Linked DNA regions of Rattus norvegicus. The protein of the gene in region 2 purifies or fractionates together with the protein of the main gene of each other region. This does not show direct contact. Links are inferred from orthologs where the notes say so. Each region holds a gene or a part of one and is shown on either strand. Other genes may lie near its edges. The genes, in order: Ubxn2a, Ppp1r7, Ppp1cc and Sh2d4a.

The links.
Region 1: the proteins of Ppp1r7 (region 2) and Ubxn2a purify together in Homo sapiens (affinity purification with mass spectrometry; 3 studies listed by BioGRID and IntAct, counting the BioPlex papers as one, with this or other methods). This does not show direct contact. The link is inferred for Rattus norvegicus from reciprocal best matches to the Homo sapiens genes PPP1R7 and UBXN2A.
Region 3: the proteins of Ppp1r7 (region 2) and Ppp1cc purify together in Homo sapiens (affinity purification with mass spectrometry; 8 studies listed by BioGRID and IntAct, counting the BioPlex papers as one, with this or other methods). This does not show direct contact. The link is inferred for Rattus norvegicus from reciprocal best matches to the Homo sapiens genes PPP1R7 and PPP1CC.
Region 4: the proteins of Ppp1r7 (region 2) and Sh2d4a purify together in Homo sapiens (affinity purification with mass spectrometry; 3 studies listed by BioGRID and IntAct, counting the BioPlex papers as one, with this or other methods). This does not show direct contact. The link is inferred for Rattus norvegicus from reciprocal best matches to the Homo sapiens genes PPP1R7 and SH2D4A.

What each region holds. Positions count from the first base shown.
Region 1 is NC_086024.1:33,620,159-33,627,648, reverse strand, and holds part of Ubxn2a (UBX domain-containing protein 2A), read left to right. Parts: intron 1-4,570; coding exon 4,571-4,712; intron 4,713-7,490. UniProt on the Homo sapiens protein: Acts to repress the ubiquitination and subsequent endoplasmic reticulum-associated degradation of CHRNA3 by the STUB1-VCP-UBXN2A complex in cortical neurons.
Region 2 is NC_086027.1:101,329,805-101,337,877, forward strand, and holds the start of Ppp1r7 (protein phosphatase 1 regulatory subunit 7), read left to right. Parts: upstream 1-3,692; 5' UTR 3,693-3,754; coding exon 3,755-3,806; intron 3,807-6,292; coding exon 6,293-6,421; intron 6,422-8,073. UniProt on the Homo sapiens protein: Regulatory subunit of protein phosphatase 1.
Region 3 is NC_086030.1:40,041,557-40,049,046, reverse strand, and holds the end of Ppp1cc (serine/threonine-protein phosphatase PP1-gamma catalytic subunit), read left to right. Parts: intron 1-1,834; coding exon 1,835-1,939; intron 1,940-2,689; coding exon 2,690-2,913; intron 2,914-3,107; coding exon 3,108-3,242; intron 3,243-3,985; coding exon 3,986-4,075; 3' UTR 4,076-4,928; coding exon of another isoform or gene 4,929-4,999; 3' UTR 5,000-5,225; downstream 5,226-7,490. UniProt on the Homo sapiens protein: Protein phosphatase that associates with over 200 regulatory proteins to form highly specific holoenzymes which dephosphorylate hundreds of biological targets.
Region 4 is NC_086034.1:26,171,906-26,180,053, reverse strand, and holds the start of Sh2d4a (SH2 domain-containing protein 4A), read left to right. Parts: upstream 1-4,079; 5' UTR 4,080-4,121; intron 4,122-4,308; exon of another isoform or gene 4,309-4,399; intron 4,400-8,148. UniProt on the Homo sapiens protein: Inhibits estrogen-induced cell proliferation by competing with PLCG for binding to ESR1, blocking the effect of estrogen on PLCG and repressing estrogen-induced proliferation. May play a role in T-cell development and function.

The DNA.
Region 1 (7,490 bases), on a different chromosome or scaffold from region 2:
TGCTTGGTGTAGAATGAATTAATGTTCATATAAACATAAAAAGTGAATTAAGGGTTGGGGATTTAGCTCAGTGGTAGAGCGCTTGCCTAGGAAGTGCAAGGCCCTGGGTTCAGTCCCCAGCTCTGAAAAAAAGAACCAAAAAAAAAAAAAAAATGAATTAATCCAGCTTCTGTAGTTCTTTCCCTTTGCTAGTCCCAAATAACAACACAGAGATACCAAGATTTATTTTAGGCGGGGCTGGGGATTTAGCTCAGTGGTAGAGCGCTTACCTAGGAAGCGCAAGGCCCTGGGTTCGGTCCCCAGCTCCGAAAAAAAGAACCAAAAAAAAAAAAAAAAAAAAGATTTATTTTAGGCATCCCCTTGATACCTAGGCAGTAAAATCTAAGCTAATCTGGCTACTTCCCAGCCATGCTCCCAAGTAATAGTTGCAATTAGGGCTTCCATTGTCCAGCTGAACTCTTAATAACTTTCTTCCTCCCTATGACTAGTCCCTCTCCCCCTCCCCCTCCTTGATAGATGTTCTGCCCTAGTCTCTCTTCTGCCCAGCCATTGGATGATTACAAACTTGAGACTTGAGATTCTCAGAATAAACATAACAAAGCCCTGTCCAGATGGAAATCAGATGTAAGGACAGAGAAATCAGCATTTGAATAACACAAAGATAACCTTTGCACAGTACACAAAAATTGGTTTTCAAGGCGGGATATCTAGCCCTGGAACTTGCTCTGCAGTCCGCGCTGGCCTGAAACTCATAGAGATCCCCTGGGATTAAGGTGTGCACCACCACTTCCAGCTTTACTGTCTTTTAATTTTCATGGCCATTTGTGGTGGCATTTGCATCTTGGCTTCTTCTCTGAGACCCTCTCACAGTAGCCCTGGCTGTCCTTGAATACTGTATGTACTCAAGGATCACTCTGAAATTCTGATCTTCCTGTCTTTATTATCAAAGTACTGGGATTCTAGTCATGCACCACCATGACCCAGGGCTTTGTGAGTGCTAGGCAAGAACTCTACCAACCAGCTACATCCCAACTCAGTATCTGCATCTAAGAGATGAGAAAACCAAATCATATACATTCTAGTTTCTTAGTGAGAGTTAGTTTTTCTTGTTGTAACTAAATAAAGGTATCTAAACATGAGCCACAGAGCCTGGATCTACTGCTAAATACCTATATTGACTAACGAGAAAATCATGGACTATCGTCTCACAGTGCAACTGTTTCTATGTGAGAAGGATCTCGTGCCATTGTTCTGGGAAGGTACAATAGTAATAATAATAGTGTGTACACACACACACACACACACACACACACACACACACACACACACACATGAAAGAATGATCTGGGGAGTAAAAAGAATCTAACTTAAAGCATTGCTGTGGGTATGAACCATCTCATCAGCCACAACACCTGCCATGTGTTTGTTTACTTGTTGAGCTAGGGTCTCAACTACTTCCCTGGTTAGCCTGGAATTCCTTTGTAGACCAGGCTGACCTGGAATTCACAGAAACCTGCTTGTCTCTGCAGAGAGTGCTGGGATTCACTATCACTTCCCTGCATACCTGGGTGATGGGGATCAAAACTCAGGTCCTCATGAGTGAGCTATGTCCAACTTAGCTATGTCCCCAACCCTGAGCACCAACATTTTAATAACAAGATTGATGACAATTTGAGAGACTGTCTGACACAGTGGTAAGAGCAGAAGACTTGCATAAGCAAATTACTTAGCCTTTTCCTCATCTGTTAAGATTAAAATAACACTTTCTAGGGCCGTTGTGAAGCCTGAATGAGTTGGCACATGTAAAGTACTTAGAATAGATCTTTATAGAGTATCGTGGGTAGAAGCACAGAAGAAAGGCAGATTAGCAGCAGAATGAATAAGTGTATTTTACAGTTCCTAACAGTGAGAGGTACAAAATGTTGATATTTCATCACTTCATACAAATCTTGTGCCTAACTTCCAAAAGCTCAGAATCTATTTCTTATAAGTAAAATCCTAGATAATGTTTTATATGATGAACTACAAATTCAAAATAAATAGCAACAAAAAGCCAAGTAGAATGGTACATGCTTATAATTCCAGTATTCAGGAGATAGAGACAGGAGAGTCAGAAATTCAAGGCCAGCCTCAGTTATATAGTTTGAGGCTAGCCTGGGCTACATGAGGTCAGTTTGAAAAGCAAATAGAAAAGAAAGTGTGCTTTTAAAGTGATCATTAGTGGAGAATATCCTTGTGAGTGTGCAAAGAAAGTGCCTAACCTGCCATGGTCTTGGTGGGGGCAGAGTGTCATGGTTCCAGTCCTTGGGACAGGGCCCAGGTATTAGCTTCCATGAGTGTTGATGGCTACTTTGGGTGTAAGGCTTGTTTGTATGATAATTTCTTTCATGTTCCTCTGAGGAATGTCTTCTCTGTTAACACTGATGACTCCATGATAATCAGAAACAGCTTGAGTCAGGGAGTCAAGGTGTGGCTAATGTTTTAGCAAAATGGTAAATGCTGGGACCTTCAGGACAGCCCTTAAGGCTGTGGCAAAGAAAACAGGAGTTTGAAAAATCTATAATTTCTCATTTATTCAAAAATATAAGGATGCAATATGAATTATGAGGAGCTTCACAAATCTAAATAAACAGGTAATTACACTATGAGCCAGCTTGTCAGAAAGATACAAAGACAGGCTGGTTCCTAAGTTCAAGGTCATTTTGAAACGCTAGGAGTCCAGGCCGAGGTGTGGTAAAAATGGTAATTTCAGGGCAGGGTCCCACCCAGTTATCTATCTTATCTGTCTGACTTATCCCTGAATTCTTGCAATGTTAGAGAAAACTTGCTTGCTGTCTCTTAAGAATCAAAGGACTGGGGTCACAGGTGCTGTTCATAGGATGGTCAAAAGGGAACCTGGGCTACATAACTGAATTGATATGGACATTAAAAACTGGCCTTTGGTCTGCATGAGTGCATGAGATAAGCTAGCAGAAAGCGAGTGAAGATTTTAGAATTTTTCTCTGGAGAGAGCTGAGCTGTCTGGAAATGTCTGGAGAGCAAAAACAGCTCTTCAGTAATTTTTTTCTAACAGGATTTCTGAGAGAGAGAGAGAGAGAGAGAGAGAGAGAGAGAGGGGAAATGTTTTGGGGGTGGAAAAGAGAGAGAGAGGAGAGAGAATGTGTGTGTGAGAGTGAGTGAGTTTGGGGATGGGATGGGGTGGGAAAAAAAAGCTGTTTTGAACCCTTCAGAAATAACATACTTGGTTTGACTGGGCATATACATTAACTATAGGGTTCTTGCTTAGCATTCATTAGGCCCTGCGCTCAGTCCCAGTACCATATAAGCCCAGCACTTGGTAGATGGAGGCAGTAGTAGTTCAAGGTTATCCTTGGCTACATAGAGAGTTTGAGTCTAGTCTGGGGCATATGAGACCCTCCCAAAAATAAAACATCTACTTTTTTGTGCTTTTGGACTTGTGTTAGACACTGTCTTAGTCAGGGTTTCTATTCCTGCACAAAACATCATGACCAAGAAGCAAATTAGGGCGGAAAAGGTTTATTCAGCTTACACATTCACACTGCTGTTCAACACCACTGGAACTCAAGCAGGTCAGGAAGCAGGAGCTGATGCAGAGGCCATGGAGGGTATTTCTTACTGGTTTGCTTTCCCTGGCTTGCTCAGCTTGCTCTCTTAAGGAACCCAAGACTCCCAGCCCAGGGATAGCACCACCCACAAGGGGCCCTCACATCCTTGATCGCTAATTGAGAAAATGCCTTACAGCTGGGTCTCATGAAGGCATTTTCTCAACTGAGACTCTTTTCTCTGTGATGACTTCAGCTTGTGTCAGGTTGACACATAAAACCAGCCAGTACAGACACATTTGGCATTTATAAAGATATTTTGGGCTATTATAGCACTTTAAGTGGAGATTCGTTAACAAATGTTACTTTCTACTGAGATCTTCCTTAAAAATGTGTTTCCAGAGATTTAATTATGTGTCTGTAGGAATGGTGCCCCTGTGTGCAGCTGCCTTCAGACACAGAGTAGAGCATCACGTCTGTGAGCTTTGTAACAGTTGTGGGCTGCCACGTGTAGGTCCTTTGGAAAAGCAGTATGTAACCCGCGAGCCATCTTTCTAACCTCCTATTGACCTCTTTGATGTGGTAAATGTGATAGCTCCCTTGTTGCCAAGTGACAGCCTGACTTTGACCCTGGGACACACGTGGTAGAAAGAGTAAACCAGTTCCCGTAACTCTCACAAGTTGTTCTCTGACTTCAAGTGCTTCCACACATGAGCACATTTACACACACTCATGAACATAAATACTTTAATAGTGAACATCTAGTTTGGGGGCTCTTAAATTAATTTTTAAGTTACTAAGTAGTGGGTTTATGGTGGCATTTTCATACATATGCATAACTGTATTTTGTTATCATTTGTGCCTTTCCACACTGTTTGATATCAGTACTGTATGGCCTGCTAGAGATCCTAAAATACAAAAGATACCTTCCACAGCAAAAGTTAGCCCTCCCCAAAGATTGATTAACTTAGAGCTAACAACACTTAATTTTTTTTTTCTTTTTTTAGGGTTTGTGAAACAGGACCTCCTGACAATCAACCCCTCAATGATAATCCACAAAAGGACTGTGAATATTTTGTTGACAGCCTTTTTGAGGAAGCAGAGAAGGCTGGTGCCAAATGCTTGTCCCCCACTGAACAGAAGAAACAGGTGAATATCTGATACTTATTGGCCTCTAGGAGGATCCCTGAAATCAAAACTACTTTTGTAATAGGAAAGCTATTTTTCACCCTTTTCCTCTTGTTAAATTCTCACAGGTGCCAGAAAGGCAATGGTAGGTAATGCTGCTGAAATCTGAGCAGGAATCAAAGCAGTCACTTCAAACTGACTTACAAATTATTGTGTTACTTGCTTGAATATACAAACCAAGTAATAAATGGTACTTTCATTTAAGAATATCTGTGATGAGCTAAGGATGTAGCTCAGCTGGTAAAATGCTTACATAGTAAACACAAAATCAATGCCAGCACAGCATAAACGGTGCAAAGTGGTCTGCATCTGTGATCCCTATGCTTGGGAGTCAGGAGAACTGAAGTGACAGGTTGTCCTCAGCGAGGTAATAAGTTCAAGGGTAGAATGGAAGGACGCTAGGGAGATGACTGTCAGAGACTGGTTGCCATGTAGACCTAAGCACGTGGACCTGAATCTGGACTCCCAGCTGCCACGTAAAAACTACAAGACTCATGTCCAGGGCTGGAGAAACAGGGACACAAGAGGATCCTTTTGGCTTGGTGGCTAGTCGTCTAGCTGAATTGGTGAACTTCAGGTTCAGTAAGAGATCCTGTCTCAAAAACTAGAGTGGGAAGTAGGGAGGGATGGCTCACTGAGTAAGGGCACCTGCGCCAGCCAGGTCCAAAAATCTGCAACCCACATGGTGGAGAGGACTGACTCCCTAGCTGTTCTCTGACCTATATACACATATGTACTCCAAATGTTTTGTTTTGTTTTAGATGTATTGTATGTGTTTGGGTGTTTCGTATGAATGTGTGCGTGTGTGTCTGCTCACAGAGAGTATGGGTTATCTGGGGACTAGATGTTTGGGAACCACCATGCAGGTACCAAGCCAGGCACTCTTCAAAATCAACAAGTACTCCTAACTGCTAAGCCAGTTTTACAGCCTGATTTTTTTTTTTTAATGTTAAAAAAAAGATAAGCTAGCAATTGAAGAAGACTCTGACATCAACTTCTGGCTTCCACATGCACACATGTATACGAGCTCATTAGACTTAGCAGGTGCTTTCACAGAACAATTAAGTAGGAAAATAACTTATGGTATTTGTTACAAATGCAAACGTTTTATTTAGTCAACTTTTAACTACAACAAGAATTTGAGGAAATTGCTATCATGCACTTGACAGCTTTTCAAACTTACAGTATTTCCCCATGAGGTTAGTGTTATTTTAGTAAATATAATATGTATCATAATGGACATCCATTAGCGTTTAGATTCACATGGCTTAGAGAACCACTATTTTCCAACTGACTAATTCATATGTTATTAAAAAGTCACGCATGAGCTCAGTGTGGTGGCACAGGCCTGTAAACACAGAACTTGGCCTAAGGTAGGAGGGTCTTAGAGTTCAAGGCCAACCTAAGCTATTTAGTGAGCTTTATACCAAGACCTTGTGTCAAGGGGGAAAAATTATGTATGAGTAAAAACTCCAACACATATAGTACAAAGGTGGAAGACTTTAAAGTAACAGGTATATGAAAAGACGGAGAGTGAATTCAGATTTCACATTCAGATTCTCAACTAACTTTGAGATAGTAACACTTATTAAACCTTGATGAACTCTCCATATCTAGGAAACATTTTAAAAATAACTTTGTAACTGCGTATCTATATAAGGTTTGATTCTTTTTTTTAAAAAAAGTATTTCAATTATAATACCAATTATAAGAATCCAACTGACTTTTTAAAGACCGACACTAAGAGGGTATGTGGAAAAACTCTAAGTTTTTTAAGAAAGGGTTTAGCCAAAGCTGGTCTTGAAGTATTCTGATCCTCCTTGCCTCTGCCTCCTGCACACAAGGATTGTAAGTATAAGTCAGTGTGGGTTGATGTCAGTATGTAGGTAAGGGCTGGCACCAGTTAGGTCAAGGCCATGATTAGACAGTAATAAAATAAGACAGGGACAAAGTTTTTGTAAGGCGCGAGAGAGGGAGAAGGAAAAAGAATCAAGATGGAGACTGAGAAAGATGACCCAGATCCAGGTGGTCTTGAATTGCCAAAGTAGTTGGTATGGGTTTCTGTAGGCAAATTTATCTTATCTAGGTGGGCGGTTTATATCTTTAACAATTGGTTGTAAGTTTATTGTGTGGATGCATTATGGATTGATAATTTAACATATAAACCTGATTGTTGATTGTTGGGTTATAGTTTGTTGAGTCATGATTTTACCAGGTAACTGGGACCAGAGAGTTCCTGGATGGCCAGGGTGACTAGCAATGAGAGTGGAGAAACCACTGGGGCTAGAAGATAACTAGGCTAATGTGGCATGGTGCCAACTGGAACCAGCATCACTGAAATAAATTAATGTTAGTTCTATATGGCCCTACAGTGTCAGAACTAATGCCAGGGAGTGACCGCCTGGGTCCAAGAGTACCAGGGGACCAGCATGGAGTAGTGACACACAAGAATCAGTCACGCCTATTTTTTATTTGTACCGAAACATGTCAGCATGTTTAGTTTTATACAGAGCTGGGGACCAAACCTAGCAATCATCCTATAGACTGTGCTACATTTCCAGGCCCTTTTAAAACTTAAGTTTTATCAAAGTAAGACTAGGGGGCTGGCAAAATGGCTTAGAGGGTTAAGATGCTTGCTGCCAAGCCTGATAATCTTGAGTTCAGATCCCTATATGCTAGGAGTGAACTGACTCCCACAAATTGTACTGACTTCCACAGCTCTATGACAGACAGCTCAGC
Region 2 (8,073 bases):
GTCCGCGGCTGAGGCTTCTGGGACCCGCGAGGCTTCTTGGGGCAGTCTACGGCCCAGTGTCCTTTTTCTTTGCAGTAGGCACATTGATCCTTATCCAGCTTTGGTCCTTTTCGAGCTCCCATCCTCTCTCCCTTTCTCTCTTGACCCTGTACTCTGGCGGCCAAGATTCGGCTCAACTCTCTGTTTCTTTTCCGGTCTCTCTCATCCTTTTCTCTACGTTCCCTATCTTCCTTCTCTTCTTGTGTCTCTCTCTAGTTATAAATTCTTTCTGACTCCTTAAGTAAATCCTGTAATGTATACCCTTGTAAATTCTCTAGTCTCTGTAGCTTAGCCCTGATATCTGGTGCTGCCTGCCAGATGAAGGACATGGAGACGCTTGTCATTTGTCCTGGATCATCTGGGTCATAAGGGGTATACATGCAATAAGCAGATGCATGGTTACAGGGATTGGTGGATTCAAATGAGGCGCATAAGCATGGTCACACATAATTGGCTATTTTACACGATATTCAAATGAGGCACAAATGTATAGCTACACACAATTGGCTGTTTTAAACATATTCAAATGAGGTTACAACATGGTGAAAGAGTACGTGCAGGTTGGGGCGTCTAGAATGTCAGGGGCTAGGGGCTTATCTCTTCCTGCCAGATGGCCTGTGAGTCAGATCCGATACTCCTGGTTTGTTCTGCATTCCTTTCCTTTTATGGTCTGTTGGTGTGTCTGGGCATGTCTGGGCTCGTTCAGGCCTATTTCAGCACTGAGTCTGTGGATCTTAAGACTTATTCTTTTACGTTATATTTGTGGACCTGAAGCTCATTTTCTTCTGGGGGGGGGGGGGGTTCTTTCACTAGGAGAGCCACTGTTAACCCAACTCTTTAAAACCAGTATGTCCCAGTAATACCAGAAGCAAAGAACAAGGCAACACAGGCCCAAAGTTTTTCAAAATTACCATCAAACAGACTCTCTTCAAACCAACTGCAAAGAAAAGCCACCTTCCTGAGAGGCTCCCCTGCAGGGCCTAGTCTATCCACACACAGAAACACCAAGGTACACAAGGACTACTCCAGGCCAGCATGGCTCAAAACAGAAAAGGCTGGAAAACTAGACAGCTAAGAAGCCAGGTAGGCAAGAAGAGAGGAGAGAAGAAAGAGGGAAGAGAGTCAAAAAGAAAATATACCTTAAATATTCATCAAGAAGAAAGGAACTGTGTGCAAGAACCAATCTTGGCAGTACGCGGTGAAAACCTTCAAATCCAAAAGGTTTATCTGCAGCAAGATTCCTTTAATATGAGAAAAATCTAAATACACTGCTTAAAAATATACACACACAGGATAAGAGTCCAACAGGACTGAAGACTCACGCTTCAGGCAGACAGTCCTCGTGAGTCTGGCAGAGCACTTAATATGGAGGCAAAATGACAGTCTCCTACTTCCTCAGTTAGTTAGGTGGGTTTACATGTGTTTGTTTTAACTGTTTTAATACATCTGTGTGTGTGTGTGTGTGTGTGTGTGTGTGTGTGTGTGTGTGTGTATGTGAGAGAGAGAGAGAGAGAGAGAGAGAGAGAGAGAGAGAGAACACACACCTATGTGTGGAGGGCAGAAAACAACTTTAAGGAGTCACTTCTTTTTACCACATGGGTCCCAAATTGTCAGACCTTGGAAGCAAGTGCCTACTCATAATACTGGGCTCAAACTGTAAGACTTTGTTTCCTTTTTTTTGTTTGTTTGAGGCAAGGTCTCCAGAGGCACTGGAAGTCTGGGAAGACACCATCAGCCTGATGGTGGTATTTTTGTGTGAAGCTAGGTATCAAACCCATAGCTCGCCACCTGTTAGGCACATCCACCACTGACTGATGAGGTATGACTCTTTGCCTTTAGTATTCTGCACATTCCATACACGGGCACATGCACCCCATATGTGATCCCAGAAAGCAACAGCTCATTACGAAACAAGATTAGCTACATAATGTTCAAGGCTGTATATGACACCACCAGGCTTGAACAAAATAAGGATGGGTAGGAGATAGAAGTTTTCATGTAGAGCATTTTAATGTCACAGATGTACATCTTCTCTAGGTAGCCAAATGCACTAATAACTGCTACATCAAACAGTGATACGACCATACTGGGTTTTTTTCTATTTTTAAAACCACCCTACAAAGAAGGTTAGGACATTTAATCACGGCTTCTAAATACACTGCCAATGTCACAAAATCTTACCTTTGTTTTTTTTTTTTTTCAGAATTTGTATAACTTCAGAATATACTGTTATAAAATCTTAATTTATATTAAAAAATTCTTCAAACTAAATTGTTAATGCTACAAATTTTTATCTTAAAAGTAATTACAGGGGGTTGGGGATTTAGCTCAGTGGTAGAGGGCTTGCCTAGCAAGCGCAAGGTCCTGGGTTCAGTCCCCAGCTCCGAAAAAAATAAAAGAAAAGAAAAGAAAGTAATTATAGGAACTGGGTGGCTCCCTCTGTTAGAAGCTCTTGCTAATGCAAACGTGAGGACCTGAGTTTAAATCTTTAACCACATAAAAAGCCAGTCATGGCCGCACGTAACTGCAGTCCCAGCATTAGGGGGTGAAGATAAGTGAATTCCCCAGAGCTCACTGGCCCGCTACTCTAACCTTAAAGCAAAGCTTCCAGTTCAGTCAGAGACTTTCGGGCGCTGGCGGCTCCTGAGCGCGGGTCAAACGGCCGGAACCCGCCACCACCCCGGGGACCGGACCCGGCGGAGGGAGTGCGCGCGTGCGAGGTTACGGCTACTCCACCTCGACGCAGAACTGAGCCACGCAACCACCCGGGGCTCCTTAGAAAGCTGGTGTCTCACCTGAGGCCGGCGCAACTCTCAGCCGGATTCACACCGTAAAGATCCGCGCGCTTCTGCCCCACCGACCAATCGTAGGCAGAGTAACAAGGGGTCAAGAACCAACCAGACACCTTGATGGGCGGGCCTCAGTGAAAGCAAGCTGCTGAGCGCGCGCAAACGGTTGCTAGGGACGCGCTGGACGTCCACTACAGTGCCTCGGAGGAGCCAAAAGAAACTGGTTTCTCCGGCCCCCTCTCACCCCTATCACGCCAAGTGACTGCAGTTCACTCCTACAGCGGAACCGAGGACGGTGAGCGACGTGCAGCCCTCCTTTTGGCGGCCACATTCTCAAGGCGAGGACGATGAGCAGAAGCGGACGATAAGGTGGTTCTCTGTGGGCCGGAGGCGGCGAACGCGCGCCCCCGAAACCGAGCCGTGGCCTCTCTCCCCTTCTCCAAGCATCCGCTAAAGGCAGCACTTGGCGCCAATATATCAGCGCGCAGGCGCGGAATAAACTGTTCTCCCTCGCCTACCTGCTCACGGTGCAGACACACAGCATTGAGGCTCCGGAAGTCGGGGCATGTCTATTCTGTTTTACCTTTGGCCTGTAGAGCTCTCCTGGCCTCAGTAACTTTACGCCTCCGAAGTCAGCACAGTGACTTGAGCGAATCTGCAAGCTTGAAGTGTCTCCCATGCTGCCTGATGACTTTCCGGGATGTCTACGTTCGCCGTGCTCGCCTAGACTCCACTCATTCATCAAACCCCTAACTCGGGGGGGGCCGGGCCCTGGGGAACTACAATTCCCATGAAACACTGCGACCACGCAAGCGTGTCAGCTCGCGCTTCTATACTTTGTTCCATTGGCTGGCCGACTGGACCTGGAATCCTGATTGGCCCATGGCCTGAGGCGACAGATTCCGGAAAGGGGAAGAGCAGCCAATATGGCGGCGGAGCGCGGCGCGGGGCAGCAACAGTCGCAGGAGATGATGGAGGGTGAGCGGCCCCTGTGGGCGACCCGGGAGCGGCGAGCTGGGGGCTGGGCGGGCACGGCCTCTAGTCGGATCGGAATTCGGCCTCCGGCCACAGCCACGAAGCTCTGACAGCTGCCAACATGGCTGGGCAGTGCCGGGGAGGCTCGGAGACGGGAACCCCGGCCCGAGAGCGGTAGCGGCCAGAAGGACCATACCCCGGGGAACAACGTGGCGCGAGCCCGCCCAGGGGGATTGGCGAGAAAGCCGTGGCTATAGGAACCTGGTCTTAAAGCTCCGAGATTGACAGGCGAGGGGGCAGGGAAACTGAGGCTTCAGGCGTGGGGACTGTAAAGTCCAGTTTGTTCACGCGGCATGGATGGAAAAGAGTCTGCTCTGGAAGCGAATGGGTTGTGGCAGAGGGTCGGGTAAAAAAGAGCTCCGGAAATTGATTTTACAAGGCGTTGTCTTATTTTTCTATAGTCTCGAAAAGACTATATTCAACTTTCTTCCTTCAGTGTGTTGGATTATGTCATCGTATACATGTGTAAATACACATGTAACACATGTATATGCTTTTGTATACAGTTGTGTAGATACGTGATCGTTACATGCATGTATGTGAGTGTATGTATTCACACAGACTTGTACATATGTACATGTACTTGCCCCACCTGCTGTAGCATTAGGCGAATCTTAAAAGCCTTTGAAAGACTCCTCTACTTCGGTGAGGATCGCTCACTTCTGGAAGATCACTCACTTTTCGGGGAAGAGTGCTAGGAAAGAGAGTTGCAGAGCAAGGGACAGGGATGTGGAAGAGAAGAGCGGTGAGTTTGAGAGCAGTGATCCCTTTCTGAGATGGGCCCTGAAAAATGACTAGACGTCACCCAGCCTGGGGTCACATGGGGAAGACCAGTATCATTCCAGAGAAAGGAAACCCAGTCAAAAGCAAAGGCGTATGGAAACATGACCTAAATAAAGTCATGCAATGGGGAGTAAGGAGAGCCAGCAAGGCTGCCCAGAGAAGTTCTTAGAGAGACTTGAAGGGAGTCATCCTAGAGGTCTTTTGTTTCTAACCTTTGACTCTTTCTTAAGTGAGGAAATGCTTCTTCTGTCCCCCTCTTCCCTCCTCCAGTACACCTCTCCCCTCCCTCCTCAGTAAAGGGCAAATACAAAAGCCAAGCTTTTCCTCTCTTCCACTCCCACACATGTCATTACCAGCTGGTACTTAGGTTTCTATGGCCCTATGTCTTTTTGGAGATTCGGAGGGTGGGAGTGTTGTTTGGTTTGGTTTGAGAGCCTGGTTTGGTTTGGCCTTGTTGTTGTTTTGTTTTGTTTTTAAAGACGGCCTGTGCGGACCAGGCAGAGCATGTTTTGCCACCTTCTCTATCACTGCTAACCTTTACTCAAGCCTTCCTCCTCTTGATAGAGTTCATTGCCTTTTTGCTAGCCTGTTATACCCAGAGCCTCACAGTCACATTCTTGCACATTATCTCAGGCTCTGGAAGCTTTCTACTGCCCTGAGGATACAGGCACAGGGTGCACCCACTCTCCCTTCTATCCTCTGGCTCCTCCTGAGGGAGGTACAGAGCCTCATTTCCCTAACCCCAGATCACAGGATGTCCTCTTGGTAACTCATAAATTCTCCTACATGCCATAGGCATGAGCTACTACTGTTGTGCCCTTTCTCATTTGGTCCTGAAAGGGGAGGGTACTCTACTAACTCTTCTACAGAGATGAATATCAAGGTTTAGAAAGGATGATCATTTGCCAAAGCCACATCTCATTGCTGCTTTGTTCATAACTCGAAATCTGTTTATTTACTCCAAAAACACTTTGCATTGTTAACTCTGCCCTGTGGTGGTTTAACACCAGCAGTTTGCTGGGAGCATCTGGCGTTTTTGAGACCATCTCATTTTCATTCATTCTGCCCACTGTCTGATTTTAGCTGGTCTTGATTTCTTTTTTTTTTTTTTTTTTTTTTTTCTTTTTTCTTTTTTTCGGAGCTGGGGGCCGAACCCCGGGCCTTGCGCTCTACCGCTGAGCTAAACCCCCAACCCTTGGTCTTGATTTCTTTTGGAATGTGGGGCCTGAAAATTGAACCAGTTTTCTTGGCCAAATGGATAGTGAGACATCAATGAGGGTATGTGGCAGAAGGGTTCCTCTTGTGGTGGACATAACGTCAGATATGAGAGCCGCCTGGAAGGAACTTCAGTACCTGGTGTCAATAGTGTTCCCAATCGTAGATGATCCAGATTTCAGAACACTTGTCAATTCTTGACAAGCTCTTAGAGGGGAAGAATGACATATTAATTGTCTTCATGTGACCTCCCAGTTTCTGTCCCTGTATCTTAAATATTATTGGATGTGGAAGACATTCAAATGTTCATAAAATGAGTTCAGCTATTTTAGAAAAAAGGCTTGCTGACTTACAACTGTTGTTAATCTCTTTTGTGTTCCTCAAATTGTCACATGAAGTAGATGTGAATTGTCACTGATGTGTGGGTTCAGTTGACAGGCGTGTTGAATCTGAAGAATCAGGTGATGAGGAAGGGAAGAAGCATGGCGGTGGCATCGTGGCAGACCTCAGCCAGCAGAGCCTGAAGGATGGGGTAGAACGGGGCGCAGAAGATCCGGAAGGTACTGGGTTTAGTTACTTTGAACTCACCCAGCAGGGCAAGGGTGCTGTTGAAGAATACTGCTCTTTGTACACGGTGTCTCCTCACGGCAGTAGTGGTTTTCCTCAAAGGGTCCCCATAGATTGGGCAAGTGGGGATGCTGGCAGAGGGCTGCCTCAGCAAATGACGGAGTTAGATTTATGAGTACAGTGGATCCATTTCTGCTGAAGGGACAGTTCCAGTACTGATGATGTGTCACCTAGAACAGAGCCAGAAAGTGACTTTTTAACCCTTTCCTCAGAATAACAATTTGAAGAGAGCATGGCCGAGTAGTACTCTGCTTCTGTATCCTGCCGCAGTGACAAGGAATCATTTCTAATCCAACTTCAACATTTCTTCTCTGAGACAGGGTCTCACTGTCTAACCCTGATTGGTCTTGAAATAATTATGTGGACCAGTCAGGCCTCCAACTCAGAAATCTATCTGCCTCTGCCCCTGAGTGCTAGGATTAAGGGTGTGTGCCACCATGACCACATCCACCTCAACATTTATATGGTCTGAGCGTCCCCTGTCGCAGCACAGATGTTGGATAGGAAGTCACTTCATTTGTATGGTCTGAGCGTCCCCTGTCGCAGCACAGGTGTTAGGATAGGAAGTCACTCCATCTGGAACTGGTCTGAGCGTCCCCTGTCACAGCACAGATGTTGGATAGGAAGTCACTTCATCTGGAATGAACAGCTTCCTCTGGTGGTTTTATGACCTCCTCAGCAGTGACCCATGCTTAAGTGTTTGCGTAGAAAATTAGTTTTCGTGGAAAAGAATAGAGAAGACATGAACACAGAAAACTGTACGAGCTGAATTGTTAAGTTCAAAAAATATGGTATTTAATTAAAAATGAGTGTTTAGTTTTACCTGCTTAAAAAGAAAACGCCATTAGCATTGAGGATCTCTTTTAGCAGCAGGCTTGAGGGGAAACTCTGCCTCTTACATTTTCCAGATCTGTGTGGATTTATCAGGTATTCATAATTATGCATTACCTTTATAAAAATAAATTTGAAGAAACATAGCTACTTTTTAAAATAGCATTGTGCACTGTGTGCCAGCAAAGATGATTGGTAACTATGGTAACCAAATTTTAAGGCAAAAGGAGATTACCACAAAAGTACCTACCACAGTTAGTTTGGAACTTCGGAGCTGATGTCTGGAGGTGATGTGGGTGGATAAAGCAAACGGGCTCTGTCACCATTTGACAGTCACTGAAGGGCTGAGGTCTGTGCCACTGAAATATTAGGCAACCCTAAAAGACTTGGAGCATAGAACAGTATGATCCTGGGCTCTGTTTCCTGGCTAATAATGTTATTGTGATGGGACACTCATTGTAAGAAGACTCTAATGTGTGAAAGATGAGGAGAATAAACGCCCAGTGCCAGCAAGAGAGCCCTACTGCAAGGCAGGCTGATTGGGCTAGAGCCCAGCGTGCTTACAGTCCAGCTTGCTTACCTCCAGATGATAGAACATGTAGTAATTCTCTGGGAACATGAATTTCTAGTCCTCAGAGAAACTGGGACTGCTCATAATTTTTTTTCCCTAAGTTTCAGCAAAACATGTTTAAATATGTCAGTCATTACCTCCCTGTATTAACCTTGTGTGTATGTGTGTACTTGTTAACATCAG
Region 3 (7,490 bases), on a different chromosome or scaffold from region 2:
CCATCCACCCATCCATCCATCCACGGTTTTTTTTTTGTTGTTGTTTTTTTTTTTTAAGATTTATTTCATGTATGTGATGTCACCAGAAGAGGGCATCGGATCCCATTACAGATGGTTGTGAGTCACCGTGTGGTTGCTGGGAATTGAATTCAGGACCTCTGGGGGAGCAGTCAGTGCTCTTAACCGCTGAGCCATCTCTCCCCCGAGTTTTATTTTTAAAATAATACTTTGTGCATATTCTCATATTTGGGGTCATCTCACGTTACTTTTTTTCTGAAATGTTCTTGCTGAGTAGCCCGTGTTGACCTTAGCCTTGGTCCCAGTTGTAGCTTCCTGACCTGGGGTGGGGGTGTCAGCCACCCACCCCACACAGCCCTGGATTATCTAGTGAAGCTGTGCTCTGAGTTCATCATCGAGAAAAACGCTTCCAAAGCCTTAGAAAGAAGTTGGTGTGGAAAGAACGAAGTGGCTTGGTGGAGAGCTTGTGTTACTTCACATAAACATAAAATGTCACAAGTTTTGAGACTTTGGCTGCATTGTCCTCCGGGCTGTTTCTGCCGGGAAAGGGTTTGGGCTGGGATGGCAGGTGCTTACGAGTTCGTTGGCTTAGCACTTGCTAATGTACACACATGCAGGAGCTTATAGTTAGGGCTGCCCATGTGTCCTAGACTGCGGCAGGGAGCTTGGGTAGTCAACATGGAGTCTTCTCAGCTCACACACAGAGCCTTAATCCAGCCCTCAGGGAAGAAAGGCATGAGTGATTGTCCAGACACTGTCAGCAGAGAATGGGACAGGACCAGATGGACTTTGGAATGGAGTCAAGGCCGTCTGGCCTCAGTTTCCGCATTGATGTTATTACCATTAGCTATTGGTAATTGGAGGTTGTTGGCTCTGTTCATTTAAGTTTCCAGAATTATCCAGGGAATCTGTGACCTCCTCAGAGCTGAAATGCAAGCTTTTACAGGGAATGATGATCTGAGTGCTTGTGGGGGTGGGGGTCAGGTCTGCCCAGCTTGAAAGGCACGGCTTAAGAAGGCTGTTGCTCTCCAAGGAGTAGTCTAGGCCTTTAGATGGCCCTGTATCCTCCGGTAAAGAAGATAGAGTCTTAGTGTAGGGACAAACACAACATGGTGGTACGTGAGTGTGGGGTGGCCCAGGAGACAGAGGCTCCCCAGCATGCACAGTCCTTGACCAATTAAAGAGAATTTGGTAGTTGCTATGGCTTATGAGTGAGTTGTGACTCAAACAGTAATTTTTTTTTTTTTTTTGTTCTTTTTTTCGGAGCTGGGGACCGAACCCAGGGCCTTGCACTTCCTAGGCAAGCGCTCTACCACTGAGCTAAATCCCCAACCCCCAAACAGTAATTTTTATACAGTGGTTTTAAAGGGGACACATTCTGACACCCTGTTATAGCCCTGGTGCTCAAGGGAGTGTACTGAGTGCAGACTGTATGTTAGGACTGAACACTTGGACCTCCTGGAGTTGGAGTGGGGCTTCTGTCTGGTTGCAGGAAGCTTCAGAGCTCAGGCCCCTGCAGGAAGAAAGAGGTGACGGACCTTGAGGATTTGGTGGCGGTTGCCTTCAGAAGTCACAAGTTTCCTCAAGGTCAAGATTAGACAGAACAAATGAGACTTCAAATAGATTGGGCACTGCCCACTAATTGTGGCAAACTGAGGTGTGCCCCTGTCTAGAACTCTATGGGAACGTATTTTGGTTGCTTCTAGATGAGTCCTGTGTCCTAGACCCCTGAGGCTGTAGGGCCTGTGGGGACCAGCATGTTTGAGTTACTTGAAAGGTGTGAAGAACAGTGGGGTGACCGTCTGCATTCTCACAGGTAAGAGAAGATACAACATTAAGCTGTGGAAAACGTTCACAGACTGTTTTAACTGCTTACCGATAGCAGCCATCGTGGACGAGAAGATATTCTGCTGTCATGGAGGTATGTGGCTCTTTCACCTGTGCAGCTTCCCCTGCTTCTGGAAAGTCAACTGGGCATGATGGCTTTGGCTGGGCCACTGTTGCACTAAGGCCTGTTCACAGTGACACAGCCAGGTCATGTGGGTCAAGCCGAGGGAAATGGGTTCTAGGTTGGGAATCGACTGTGACCTTAAATACAGAACGAGCCCTGGTGCATCTGCTCAGCCGTGTGTTGCCTGAACCCTTCTGGGGGGTGGGGGCGGGGTCTTTCCAAAGCATGGCTCCATGGCTGTGCTGTGTGGTAGTAAAGGGGGTGGCACTAGAAATGAAGCAGCTATCTAAGAACCATAGAGTGTGTGTGGTGTGGTCCCCGCTCTGGTGGATGGGCACAAAGAGAAAGGGACTCTGGCTGCTCAGACAACAGATGGGAGCTGCCTCACATCTGGACGCGTTGTCCCTGTGCCCAGCCACTGCAGTTGGTCAGGGTGGTGCCTGCCCTGTGTGTTTTCCTTGCTGCCTTCTGTTGGGAGAAGTGTGGATGCAGTGGCTGGGTGTTACAGGGCTCTGTGTTGAGGTGAGTAGTGTCTCTGCCCTGCACATCAACATCAGTACAGTACATTTCCTGAATTATTTCCCCTAAAACCAAGTAAAAAACCCACAGATGTCACGGCAGCGCAGCGAGGCAGCACCAGCCTCTGCAGCAGGAGGGGCTGGCCGCATGCTCGTGCCCATGCCGTTTGTGCTTTAGGGGTTTTCCTTTCTCGTTGAATAGGTTTATCACCAGATCTTCAATCTATGGAGCAGATTCGGCGAATTATGAGACCAACTGATGTACCAGATCAAGGTCTTCTTTGTGATCTTTTGTGGTCTGACCCCGATAAAGATGTCTTAGGCTGGGGTGAAAATGACAGAGGAGTGTCCTTCACATTTGGTGCAGAAGTGGTTGCAAAATTTCTCCATAAGCATGATTTGGATCTTATATGTAGAGCCCATCAGGTATTGATTTTGAATTTTACATGTACACTTAGAGCATGTGTGTGAGCAGATTCTCCTTGTTGATTTTGGTGGGTAGGTATGGCTTGCCACACAGTGTGCCTCTGGGGAGAGCCGCAGGAGGCCAAGCTCAGTGGGGAAGGAGAATGGAGCGGCTCAGGCTTCCAGCTGCTCACACTGACGCTGTCTCTCCACAGGTGGTTGAAGATGGATATGAGTTTTTTGCAAAGAGGCAGTTAGTCACTCTGTTTTCTGCACCCAACTACTGTGGCGAGTTTGACAATGCGGGCGCCATGATGAGTGTGGATGAGACCCTCATGTGCTCCTTCCAGGTGAGACTGCAGCAGCTTTGCTGACCTCCCGAGGAAGTTCTTCCTGTTGTTTCCTGAGCAAGCTGCCCATTCTTCTTTAGTAGCACATTTGTCCCATAGGAGTAATGTGTGGGCTCAAGAATTCTTAAGAAAGGAAACAGGGCCGTTTTCCCAGCATTGACTTAGTGTAATTGAATTCTTAGTGTGTGAAAACAAGCAATGTGTTGTAGCTTTAGTCAGTGCTTTTGTTGAGAGGAGGGAGTTGGAGTGGCCCTGGCTGTCCTGGGACCCACCTGTAGACCAGGTTGGCCTTGAATGCAATAGAGAGTCATTGCCTCTGCCTCTCAGGTGCCAACATGTCTGCTTGTGCTCCGGTTCTCACATTCCCTCCCCAGAGTGAGCGGGCTTGATCCACTGCTCACACAGTTGAAAATGTTAGTGCAGCCGTGGCAGTCCCAGGGCAGGCCTCAGCAGTCCCCAGAGACTGCAAACCTCAGTGCCTTCCACGGAGCTTCAAGGCTGAGGGAAGTTGTAGGCTTGAGTTTGTCACGTTGTCCAGGCAGACACTGTTGTCCAGGTCACACGTTCTGCCTGTGCATCAGGCGAGTCTCCGCTACGGTGCCCAGGTGCCGGTTGGGTCAGTGTTGTCCTAGAGGGGCTTTCAGCACTGGGGCAGCATCAGACAGAACCTCGGGATGGGAGCTCTGAACAAGGCTGAGGTCCAGGTATGGCTCCTAAGGTTCTTGGTTCTTTCCTCTTCTCAGATTTTAAAGCCTGCAGAGAAAAAGAAGCCCAATGCCACGAGACCTGTCACACCGCCACGGGGTATGATCACAAAGCAAGCAAAGAAATAGATGTCACTTGACACTGCCTAGTGGGACTTGTAACATAGCGTACATAACCTTCCTTTTTAAACTGTGATGTGTGCTGGTCAGCTTGCCCAGGTAGACCTGTCGGGCCCTCCCTTCTCCATTTTGATTATTGCTGGCACTTGCTGGTTATAGCAGCAAGTGAAGCATTTCATTCTCAAGAAAGCGGTTTGTTTTGTTTGTTTTTAACCTCTGTTCCCTTTGTGGACAGCTCTGATGATGGTGTTAAGCTGTACACCTTGGCAGTTTATCCTGTCCGAGGGGAAAGTGTACAATTGATCTTTTTTTTTAAATTTAGTATGAATCATGAATAATGTAAATGCTTGTTTTCTTTAGGATATAAAGAGAGCCCTAGGGTGCGTGAGTCTGTACATGTAATTGTCATAAATGCATTCTGTTGATACAAACCACTGTGAACAGTTTTTCCAAGTTTGTTTGACAGGGACTGCTTTCCCTCACTGTCTCATCCTGTACAAACTAGTGTCTGCAGCTGTGGCAGCAGGAGCAACCTGCCACCCTGCCACCCACACTGCCCAGGCTGTCTGAAGCACACTCCCTCCCACTGCACACTTAACTGACGATTAAAGCCATTCTTTTCAATGTCTGTGATTCCTTCCTAAAGCCAAAGTTTCTGTTGGACTGTATTGGCACACCCTGGACATGAGGTGGCCAGGGCACCAAGGCTGCGTGCACAGGCCGCCTCCGTGGGGACTCAGAAAGAAGCAGGTTATTTTAACTAGCAATAGTGATGTAGTGCTGGGTAAGCTATTAATGGTGGAAGTTAATGAGACATTGTACAGTGCCCATATAGTCTATTCACTGAGTAATCTTTTTACAGTTGGATCAGGCCTGAACCCGTCCATTCAGAAAGCTTCAAATTATAGAAACAACACTGTCCTATACGAGTGATCGATAATGCTTTCTTTGGCTACATTCTTTATTCTGCGGTGACATTGAGGCTTATAAATCAAAAGGAACTAACTTGCCGTCCACCGGTTTATACAGAACTCACAGTATCTATGACTTTTTTAAACTACGACCTGTTAAAATGAATCTGTTTCCACAGATGCCCGTGTACAATGCCATGTGCTAAGAATGATTTCAGACTTATTAAATGCGAGCTTGTTAACCTGTCCGTGTATGTCTGTCTGTCATCGGCCACTGAGTCCATTTCTGTCTTTCTATATGCACGTGGTTTGGGAGGGGCTTGGCTCATAGCTGTGTGGCCTGGAAGGAGGGGGCTGTCTTCCTAGGCACTCCCCTTCCAGCACGCTTCCTTCAGCTTGAACCTGAGGTTCTGTAAACTTCGAGGGAGGAAGAGAAATCTGAGCCATTGATTAGGTCAGAGGCCACGAAGGGCGTCAGCCCACAGTGGTGGTTGGCATTCCGTCACGGCATCCTGAGCAGAGAAGACAACGTGGCGTTGATAGTCTCCCTCCTCTATCTCTCCGCATGCTGTAACCCAGGGAGCCCCTTTCTCTCAGCTTCTGGCTCTCCAGCTGGGTGAGTGGCAGAGCCACAGCCCTGGCAAGTCATAGTTGTGAGGGTATGGGCGTCCCTGCTGAGTTAGACCTACCTGAGCTCCTCTGAGCTCACTGTAGCAAGTCTTCCTGACACCAACATAAAAAGGCACAGAGGGAGGTCATAGTTGTCCCTAGATGTTGAAGTAGTAAATGTCAAAACCTGTAGAAACTTGTCTGAGACAGTGCCATTCTGTTCATGTTCACAGCAAACATGCAAATGTACCATACATGTGTAGCACACATACCCCCCATTCCATGAACAGCATACATCTGTGTAACAGGTGAAACTGGGGGGCAGGGAAAAGTGCTAGTCCAGGAAGAAAGGACTGGGTTCAGAGAGAAGGAAGCAGAGCCCGGCTCCCAGTTGGGGCCAGCCCAGGTGACTGATGGCACACCTAGCCTCTACCTGCTGGTAGGTAAGAGCTGGCTGAGTATCATAGGGCTGTCGGGTTAGCTTGGGGGACGTGGGAGTGGACTCTTGAGCCTGTGTAGGATGGGTTGGAAGGAAGAAGGCAAAGGGCTGCTCCTGAAGATGTCAGGGAATGTCTGGGTGGTGAGGAGCACAGGGCTGGAGGTGGGCAGGTAGGCCCCCTGCTCCTCACTCACTCAGGGTGGGGTGCACAGCTTCCTGTAGCTCAGGCTCTTCTGAGGGCCCTCTTGTGGCCTCTGTGGGGTTCTACACTGACGCACTTATATTAAAAAAACTTAATATTCTATATGTGAGTACACTGTCACTGATCAGACACCTGAAGAGGGCGTCGGATCCCATTACAGATGGTTGTGAGCCATCATGCTGGGAATTGAACTCAGGACCTCTGGAAGAGCAGCCTGTGCTTTTTTTTTTTTTTTTTTCAGAGCTGGGGACCGAACCCAGGGCCTTGTGCTTCCTAGGCAAGCGCTCTACCACTGAGCTAGATCCCCAACCCCGCAGCCTGAGCTCTTAACCTCTCAACCATCTTTCCAGCCCCATTTTTTAAATTTTTAATTGAAAGAGAAGGCTAGGTTTGAGATGCCAGTGGCCTCTTCTTGGAAGGTAGTTGAAATTCATTGTTTACCTGCCAATGGACCAGCCAGCTGGTCTGCATGGTGACATAGAAGAACTCAGCTGAGGTCAGTCTTGGTACACCAGACTAGCTTCCGGCCCACAGAACAACTAGAATATTCCCTGATAGGATTAATTCAAGACTACTCAGGACTCCACACATACCAAACACTCAGGCAGCATCAGCCAGAGAGACACCAAAGATTCATGTTCCAATCCCATGGTGTTGCTTTATAGAAACGAGACACACAAAGGCCATTCCCCAGTAGTTCCCAGGAAAGGAAGACAGGCCTTGTAGGCTGCCACCTTCTCCCGAAGCTGAACTGGAAAAAATCCACCCTGTGTTGCTGGCCCATGCATGCTGGACCACAACTTCTGGCCTTCTAAGTATCTTCAAGGACAGGTATGTGAAGATTTTGACTTCATGAGAGGATTTTGACTTTTTTTGTCAGTTATGTAAAATACGTTAGCATGTTTGGTAAGACCATAAGACAGTATAATGATCAAAAAGCCAAGAGCAGCTGGGGAGAGCCCCAGGAAGTAGTTGGTGCACAAGCTTGAGGAGCCACCAGCTTAATCCCCAGAACCCTTATAAGAAAATGGGTGTGGTAGCATGTGCATGTAGTCCCAACACAAGGGAGAACAGATCCTGGATAGCCTGGCCCAATTGGTAAGTTTCAAGCCAAGCCTTGCTAAAAAGGGGGTGGGGGTGGGGGTGGGGGTGGGGGTGTTAACTGGGCGTGGTGGCCCAGATGAACAACACCTGAGTCCTCTGGTGCTCACACATAACCACCTGTGCTCGTACTCATACAAAAAAGTGGGACGAAAGCTTTAA
Region 4 (8,148 bases), on a different chromosome or scaffold from region 2:
CTTTGATCAGTTCACAGTAAACTTTAAATGTTTATTCTTTTTCTTTCCTGCCTACCTCACATCTGCTATGGGACAAACATAACTCACCTCTTAAAGAGTCCACAAACCTTGTGTAGATTTTAAATTCTGATAATACAATATGACAAGAAAATATTGTTGGTGCTTATTAATAATGTGTTTTATAAAGAAAAGGTAACTTTCACTTCCTGGAGAACATATACAACTTATTTAATTTAGAACAATGACTTTTTCTTTTTTTAAAGATTTATTTATTTATTATATGTAAGTACACTGTAGTTATCTTCAGACACATCAGAAGAGGGCATCAGATCTCATTGCAGATGATTGTAAGCCACCATATGGTTGCTGGGATTTGAACTCAGGGTCTCTAGCAGTCAGTGCTCTTAACCACTGAGCCATCTCCCCAGCCACAGAGAGGCATTTCTTATCTCCCTGGAAGCAACAGGGTGTCTGCTTTGCACAACTCCAGGCATTGCCTTCCATATTATAAACTGTGTCTGACCTCCACACAGTTACACCCATGCTGTGCTGTGCACTGTACTTGGTCCTGAGTGGAGAGGTTCTTTAACCAATGCAAATGCCACACAGGAGAGATGGTTAAAAGCACAGGAAAGGGGCTCGTGGGATAAAGGCGGGCAGTGAGAGTCCAGTTGAGTAAACCATGTTTGTACAGTTTGTGGACCAATGCCTACCCTAGACATTGGCCCTTACAGCATTGATGACATCCCTGGTTTCACATACCTGAAATCTGTACATAAATACTCTATGTGTCAGTGCCATAGTATCAAAGACCCAAGCCACGGACTATGCTGTCCTTCAGGTGTCACCACATGGCCTAGCTTCTACCAGGTGTCCATGAAATGTCTCCCAAGTGTGTTAGTTGCTAAATTTTATCTTAGTGGGTACAATAAAGACTGCTTTCTATGTGGCAGGATGAGAGGCGGGCAAAGAAATATCCTAAAAGCTGATAGCTCAGGGGAGGTGAATTTCTTCCCAAGTGAGCGGTGGAGTAAGGTTTTAGACAATGGACCCAGTGTGAGGCTGCAGAGGTTGTAGGTTTAAGGGTTGGAACGCAACAGATTACATGGAGGTAGGGTATCTGGCAGCAAGGCGATACGGCCGAAAAAGCTCAGCGTTAGATTATCCTGGTTGCAGAAAGTTGGCCAGCAGTTAGGCCTTCATTCTTTGGGCAGGAAAGAGGGCGAGCGTCGAAAATGTTTCAACAACTGAATGGTGGATGGATTATTTACTGAAAAGAAATAACAGCTTCATTCACAGCCTGGACAGCCTGTGGTACAGACTCTGAGAGAAGGATCCACCCCCTCTCTTTTGACAGGATCGCCTGAAGTACTTGTTTGACATGCAGGTGCCACGACTCTGCAATGTTCTATTTCTTAGCTCTGGGCTGAGGCCTAGGCTCGGAATTTACATAAGCTATTTCAGTGTTTAAATAAGTCGTAAGGGTCATTTTCGATACATGCATACTAATTAAATTTAGCTTACTAAGAGGGTGCATTGGTTATCTATTTCTGTGTAAGAAACTACCTCCAAATTGCTAACTTACAGTACAAATGGCCTGTCTTTAAGTGTACAGATGAGGAATTTGAGAGTGTCTTAACTGAGGAATATCATGGATTTTCAGTGAAGCTACATGCCAGTATTGTAGTTACACTGCTTGACGACAGCTGAGGACCTCCCATTTAGTCTGTGTGGGCTTGGCCTTCATTTTTTGGCCTCTCTGGGTGGATCTCTCCAAAGGATCACTTGATATGGAACTTCTTATCTCTCAGCATGAATGTTTCAAGGGTGTGGGAGACAGAGCGGGAAGGAGTAGGGATGGCAGGGAGGAGACAGAGCTACAGACAGGACAGAGCTACAGACTTTCCTTTCTCATTGTTTTTAGATATGTTCTCACTATGAATACAGGTTGGCCTGAAACTAAGTAGCTCACAACGGTCTTGGATTGCTGTCTTTCTATTTCGGCATCCCGAGTGCTGGGATAACAAATCTTTGCTGCTACCACACACTATTCTGGGAAACAGTGTACCACCACTTCGGCTGTGTTCTACTGAGCACACAGACCAATATCTGGTCCAGCAGTGGCCTCCACACTTTAACAAGGATGATTGGGGACAGCCTCCATCCAGGTAAGATAGGAGACAAAAATTCATAGCCATGCTATAAGATGGTAGGAACATGCAATTACAGTATACGATGTGGAATAATATGACCTACTGTGTTTGAATATTACATGCCAGAAACGGTTCTAAACACTTTGTGCAAAGAGCCTCTATCCATTCAATAGTCTTTGGCACGCAGTAAATATTCAAACATATTAGAGCCAGCCATGCACTGAGCACTTTGCATGCAGTATCTCACTTAAGGCTCACTAGAGAACCAAGCAGCCAGGCACGGCTGCTATCCTGAATGGGAAACTGTAAGGCTAATGTAAGGGGGTGGGGGTGGGGAGTTGTTATCGAGAAGGGCTTGTCAGGACTTGGAGACAGAATGAGTAGGGAGGAGGGCACCCAATGATAGCATCAGTGTCCCATGGGCTTATGAGGTGGCTGATGGCCCACTTGTACAGCTTCTTAGCTTCCAGGGAGTGTGAGGACACCTGCTGAGCAGATACTGCTGCTAGGCAGAGGACAAACCATTCTAAAGCACCTCATCTGGCCACCTGATTCAGTGCTGTGGAGAGAAAGCTTTAAGCCAGGAATCCTTGCCTGAGTGTATCACAAGCACCATTCCTAAATGGCTAAGTCTTGTTTCCTCAGAGTGGAGGGTGTAACTCCTGCCTGTAATGTTTTCCAACTTAAGAGTTTTTCTGGAGGAGTTAGGGGAGGGACTGAAGGAGCTGAAGGGGCCTTATCTGGCATCAATAGGAGCCTGTGAAGGCTCAATGCCCCAGTGTAGAGGAATGCTAGGGTGGTGAGGCTGGAGTGGGTAGGTGGGTAGGTGGGTAGGGGAACACCTTCATAGAAGCAGGGTAAGGGGGCATGCAATAGGGGATTTGCAGAGGGGAAACCAGGAAGGAAGATAGTATTTTAAATGTAAATAAATAAAATGTCTAATTTTAAAAAGTTTTCTGTGGTTGCGAAAGCCTACGGTAAACAACGTTTGGGTTCAGCACGTCAGGCTCCTAAATCGATTGGATAGGGTGTATAAAGTCACACCATGTTTCTTGTTTATAACAGTGCTCTCCAATCTCCCCAGTCTGAACTCCTGTGTCATCCCTCCCCACCCCCACTCATACACACCCCCAGCCCTGTTTTCTTCCACACATGCCCAAGGTTCCTCGCCTGTGGAAAAGGCTGTTCCACTTTTCCACTCTGTTCAGCTTTCTCCCCTCCCAGATAAGCTTAGGCTTCAGCAGTGCCCTGTGCCACCCTGGTCCTGATCACAGGGAACTTCTACCTTTTTTCCCCTCAGGTTTCTCTCCCTGGCTGCCCCTTTCCCTAGAGCCTGCAACATTCCAGTCTTTCTCTTCCTTGAACATGCCTTAAGCCACACCTGGAGTAACAAATGCTTCAGAGTTTGATAATTTACTTAATGTCAACAAAAGAGAAGGAAAAAGTAAGCTGTAGAAACGCAGTCACAGAACTGCAGCCAACTTGGCTGCAGGACCCAGGTTCCCAGATGGACCCTGCCTGCCTGCCATTGCAGGCTCCACCTAACAAGTCAAGTGTGGACAATTGTAATTAGTAAGTCCCACAGACCCCCCCTGAGGTGTCAGGGCAAACTACCCCAGACTGTAGACAGCACTCTAGATTAGCCAAGGACTAGTGGCCTTGCTGTCACTGGACCAAGGCAGCCAAGCCTTGCCTACTGGCCCTGGAGCGCCTCCAGCACCCGGGAGGGGCCTTGAGGGAGCGCCCAGTCAGTCACCCCAGCATGTGGGCGCGGCGGGGCGGGCCAGGGCTGTGATCTGGACGCCGAGTGTCCTTCTGGGCCCGAGTGTTTGTCCAGACAGCCCGCGCGGCTGGGTCTCTGCGCGGCTGGGTCTCTCTGCTTGTCCTCCCTTCTCTTCCTGGAGTTGCTGTAGGCAATCTGGAGGTGGCGGCGGGTGCTTGGACCACCTTGCCCCGGGTCCTGAGCAGGTAGGTGACCGGGTCGGGTAAAACGCTGGAGCATAGAGCCAGGCAGAAGGGTGAGCGAGGAGTGGGAACCAGGAGATGCGTCTCTAGAGCGAAGGGTGAAGCACAGAGGACAGGGAGAGGAAGAGACCCTGGTTCCCGCGGCCAGGCTGCTCACCTGTCCCTCCGGTCCCTCCTCCACGGCGCTCAGGGCGAGCTCAGGTGCCCAGAGGAACAGACCACAACGGCTGCGGGTGTCCGATGTCTCGTGTAGGGTGTCCAGTGTCTGCAGCCGGGTCCAGGTGAGTGGCGGCCCCAAGAACAGAGGGCTTGTGATCATTATACTAAGAGTCTCCAGAGGGAGGAGAATCGGAGGCGACTTGGAGTCTTTCAGGAAAGTTGTCCCGTCCGGGCTGTGCATGCACACGCGGCGAGTGCTAACTGGCCTGGGGCAGGTGCACAGCGGGGGCCACCTGCGAGGGTCTGAGCCACGAAGAGGGTGCTGGGTGTCGGCTACAGTACCCACAAATCAGCGGAGGTCCAATCACTGGGCAGTGCCATGTGGTCTCCTGGCCCGGAGACCTTCCAGACAAGAGTCCTGAAACCGGTTTCAGCACAAGCAGAACTCCATTAGTAAGTTCCCCGCGCTCCCGCGGGCGCCCTCACGTGGTACAGAGAGCAGCGGGCTCGTCGTCTCTCTGTGGTTCTGGGTCAAGGCTCAATCTAGAATCAGCCTAGCCAGAATTTTCCTCAACAAAAGTGAGCCATTACCAACCGTTCCTGCCTTAAGGGGTTCATGGGCCCTAGGTGGAGGCACTCAGTGTTTATAGGTTTTCTCAATGTCTCTCTTTGCTATGGTCCCAGAGAAGCAGGGATGACAGCCTCTTGCTTGTGTAAAGAAACAATGTATTTATAATTTTTCTTATTTAATAATAAGTGGAAGAAATACTTAGGCGAAGATTTAGCACAAATAGGCTTTTCTAGGAATATCTATCTATGAAATACTTCAATCTTGAGAGTATTTACAAAACTTCCAGCTCCTCTCACCACTTGCAATTCATTTTGTTTCCAAAATCATCATGTAAATTAATAAGAAAAATATTGAGCAATTCAAAGCCTGACAACAGAGAACGCAAACTAAGTTCTTACCTTTAGGGATATATGTACTGTAAATACAGAAATATTTTAATGAAGGTAGTTGTACCCAGAGTTTAATTATTATCATTATTGTTATTATTTATTAGGCTCTGTATTAATTAAAAACAATTGTGAGGAAAAGTGGAAAGTGTGAAAGTCAGACAAGATCTACAGGTATCCTGAGAACTTAACTAAATTTTGGACTCTTCAGAAATTTTTAGAGTGAGTGACAGGTATGGGCTTGTTCCCTGCTAGTTGTCTTTTTCAAGAAAAATGCCACAGGAGAGGAAAAACAAGTTAACTGGGCTGTACTCTGTGTTGGACCACGAGTGACTGCACTCAGTATGAGACCCACACATCACCAAACAGTGATTGTCCGGTAACGTGAAAGTAGGAAAACCCCTGGCAGGTTCACTTCCTCCTTTTCATTTCCTGTACTTGTCTCAATAGCTTCAAGGCAGATTTTATCTCAGGATCCAAGAGCTACAATGATCCTCAGGTTAGTTTTATGGATTAAGAAACAGGGTCTAAAGATGTGAAGTGACCTTCCAAAGTCATGGGTCACTGGAGGCAGAACCGGGAATCTAAGCTGGTGAACCTGTCTGTAGCTGTGCTGTGGTCTGCTCTAGGAAAGCCTTGGAGAGCTGGTTAACTGACATCACTCAGAGCCAATCAGCAGTCCAGTTCGGTGCCCATAGTCAACAGCCACAGGCACTTGTTAGCTGGGTTTCTTTTGTATTCCCTGAGGCCACCAGGAACCACGGTATTTTCTTCAAAAGGGATTAAACTGGCCCTGGTGGTTAGGGTCTATATAATCCCAATTATTTGAGAAATAAAGACAGCCAGTGTGGAAAGTCAAAAGCCTGTTTAGGCTAGGTTATATTAAAAACTGGCCTGGACAATTTAGACTCCATCTCAAAACATAAAGTAAAGGGGGCTGGGGGTGCAGCTCAGCAGCGGAGAATTTGCTTGGCATGTGCAAGGGTCAGGTTTAATCCTCAGACCACAAAACAAAACATGCCAACCAACCTTGATGCTTGAAGTCTATGTTACACAAGCTACCCGAAGCAAAGCAGAACAAAGAAGAGAGTTGCGCACCTCTTTACTGGAGTACCAGGGAAGGGAATGTTGGTGGAACAAGGCAAGTGGAGAGTAAGAGGAAGACAAAGTCACCACTGGACCAATGCGGGTAGCAACTCTGTGCTCCTTCCTGGATGGTGTATTTTCTTCTGTGGCCTCTCTAAGCTTATCTACACTTGATTACCGTAGGCTTCCGCACTAGCTGAGGTATCTCCAGTTTTAAAGTTCTCTTCCCAAGGACATTTTCTGATCTTTGTCCGGAAAATTTCAAAGTGGCACCAATCACTTCCTGATTCTGGACTCAGGAGTAAACTTGTAGCAGCCAGTCTGTGCAGTGGATACAGTAACTGCTGTGCTTCCCCCTCACTGTCTTCCTCAGTTCCTCTTGGCACTACAGTGGAAGGAGTGAGGGACTTAACTCTTGCTGAGTGCTTATGGTAGTGCAGGAAACAGTTAAGTGTCCGTTCTGTTATCAGAGAGCGCCTGGAGCCAAATCATTCCTGGAGGAATGTGCCCTTGGCTCTTTGAGGGAGTTAATTTTCAGTTCTCTCTGATCCTTCAAGAATATTCACTGGACAGAAGGGGGGCGAGAGTAGAAGGTGTAGACCCCATCAGCTGGGCGTGTGTGTGTGTGTGTGTGTGTGTGTGTGTGTGTGTGTGTGTGTGTGTGTCTGTGCTCTTCAATGGGCGTCAACCACTGCAGCCATGGAATCATTTCTGGATGATTCCTGGAATTTCAGGGAGTCATTTGCTTTGTTTACTTTACTCGTTTACCTCAGGACCTTGAAGTCACATGTGCCAAAGAACCAGATTCTTCCTGTGGGAGAAGAATGTCTTCCGTAAACCCTTCCTTTTGAGTGGACTTGGTTTGCTGTATTCCCTGAGACTGTGCTAGAACCAAAATACCACAAGACATTGACTCTTCACTGTATAACCCTTTGAAGACCATCCCAAGGCAATATGGAAGCTTAACTAGGGGCCATGGGAGGGATATGCCTGTCTGAGTTACAGTCAAGATACTAATTTTAACACTGTTTAACATTCCTCTTAATATCGTGCTCCATTTGAACTCCATAAAAATGGTGTGGAAGAAAATAGGGTGCGGGTAGGAACCTGCAGGGCCCTGCTATGCAATGAGTAGTGAATCCAAATGCTGAGATGTCCTGTGGTACCTGACTACTGAGTGCGCTGTCTCAAAGGACTGTTGTTCAAGAGGCTGCTTTACAAGGAAACGGAGGAGGGAGGGAAAGAGAAAGGATTAAGACTCAGAAAGACAGGAAGAGGCAGGGAGAGTCAAGACTACAATAGTCAGGATGTTGCCCGGTAACTGTTCTCAAGTTTAAGTGTGTATTGCTTTCTATGGGAAATCAAGGTATTTGAGTGAGCACGGACAGAGGCAAGATTTTGGAAGCATTATAGGCGTAGACATTGTAGTTGACTTTTACAACATAGATGAGCCTGAAGACATGGCTATCCTAGGAAGACTTGTGTTGTCCTATGACATTTGAAACAAATTAAATCTCTTTTCTCCAGAATATATAAAGAATATATATTGTGGATAGACTGCATGCATACACATACATGCATATATAATACTTCTTTCTATTGATAAAAGTGTATGAGTTTGGGTCTGGGAAGGTGGATCAGTGGGTAAATAAAGCACGAGAATCTGCATTAAAGCCTCATCCCAGTGCCTCTGTGGTGAGAGGAGAGATGGAGACAGGAGATACCCCAGAGCTTTCTAGTCACCTGCATGATTGGTCTACACACGGCTGAACAAGCGAAAGAGAAATCTTGTCTCAAAGAAGGTGGAGGGCCACAGCTAACACCTGAG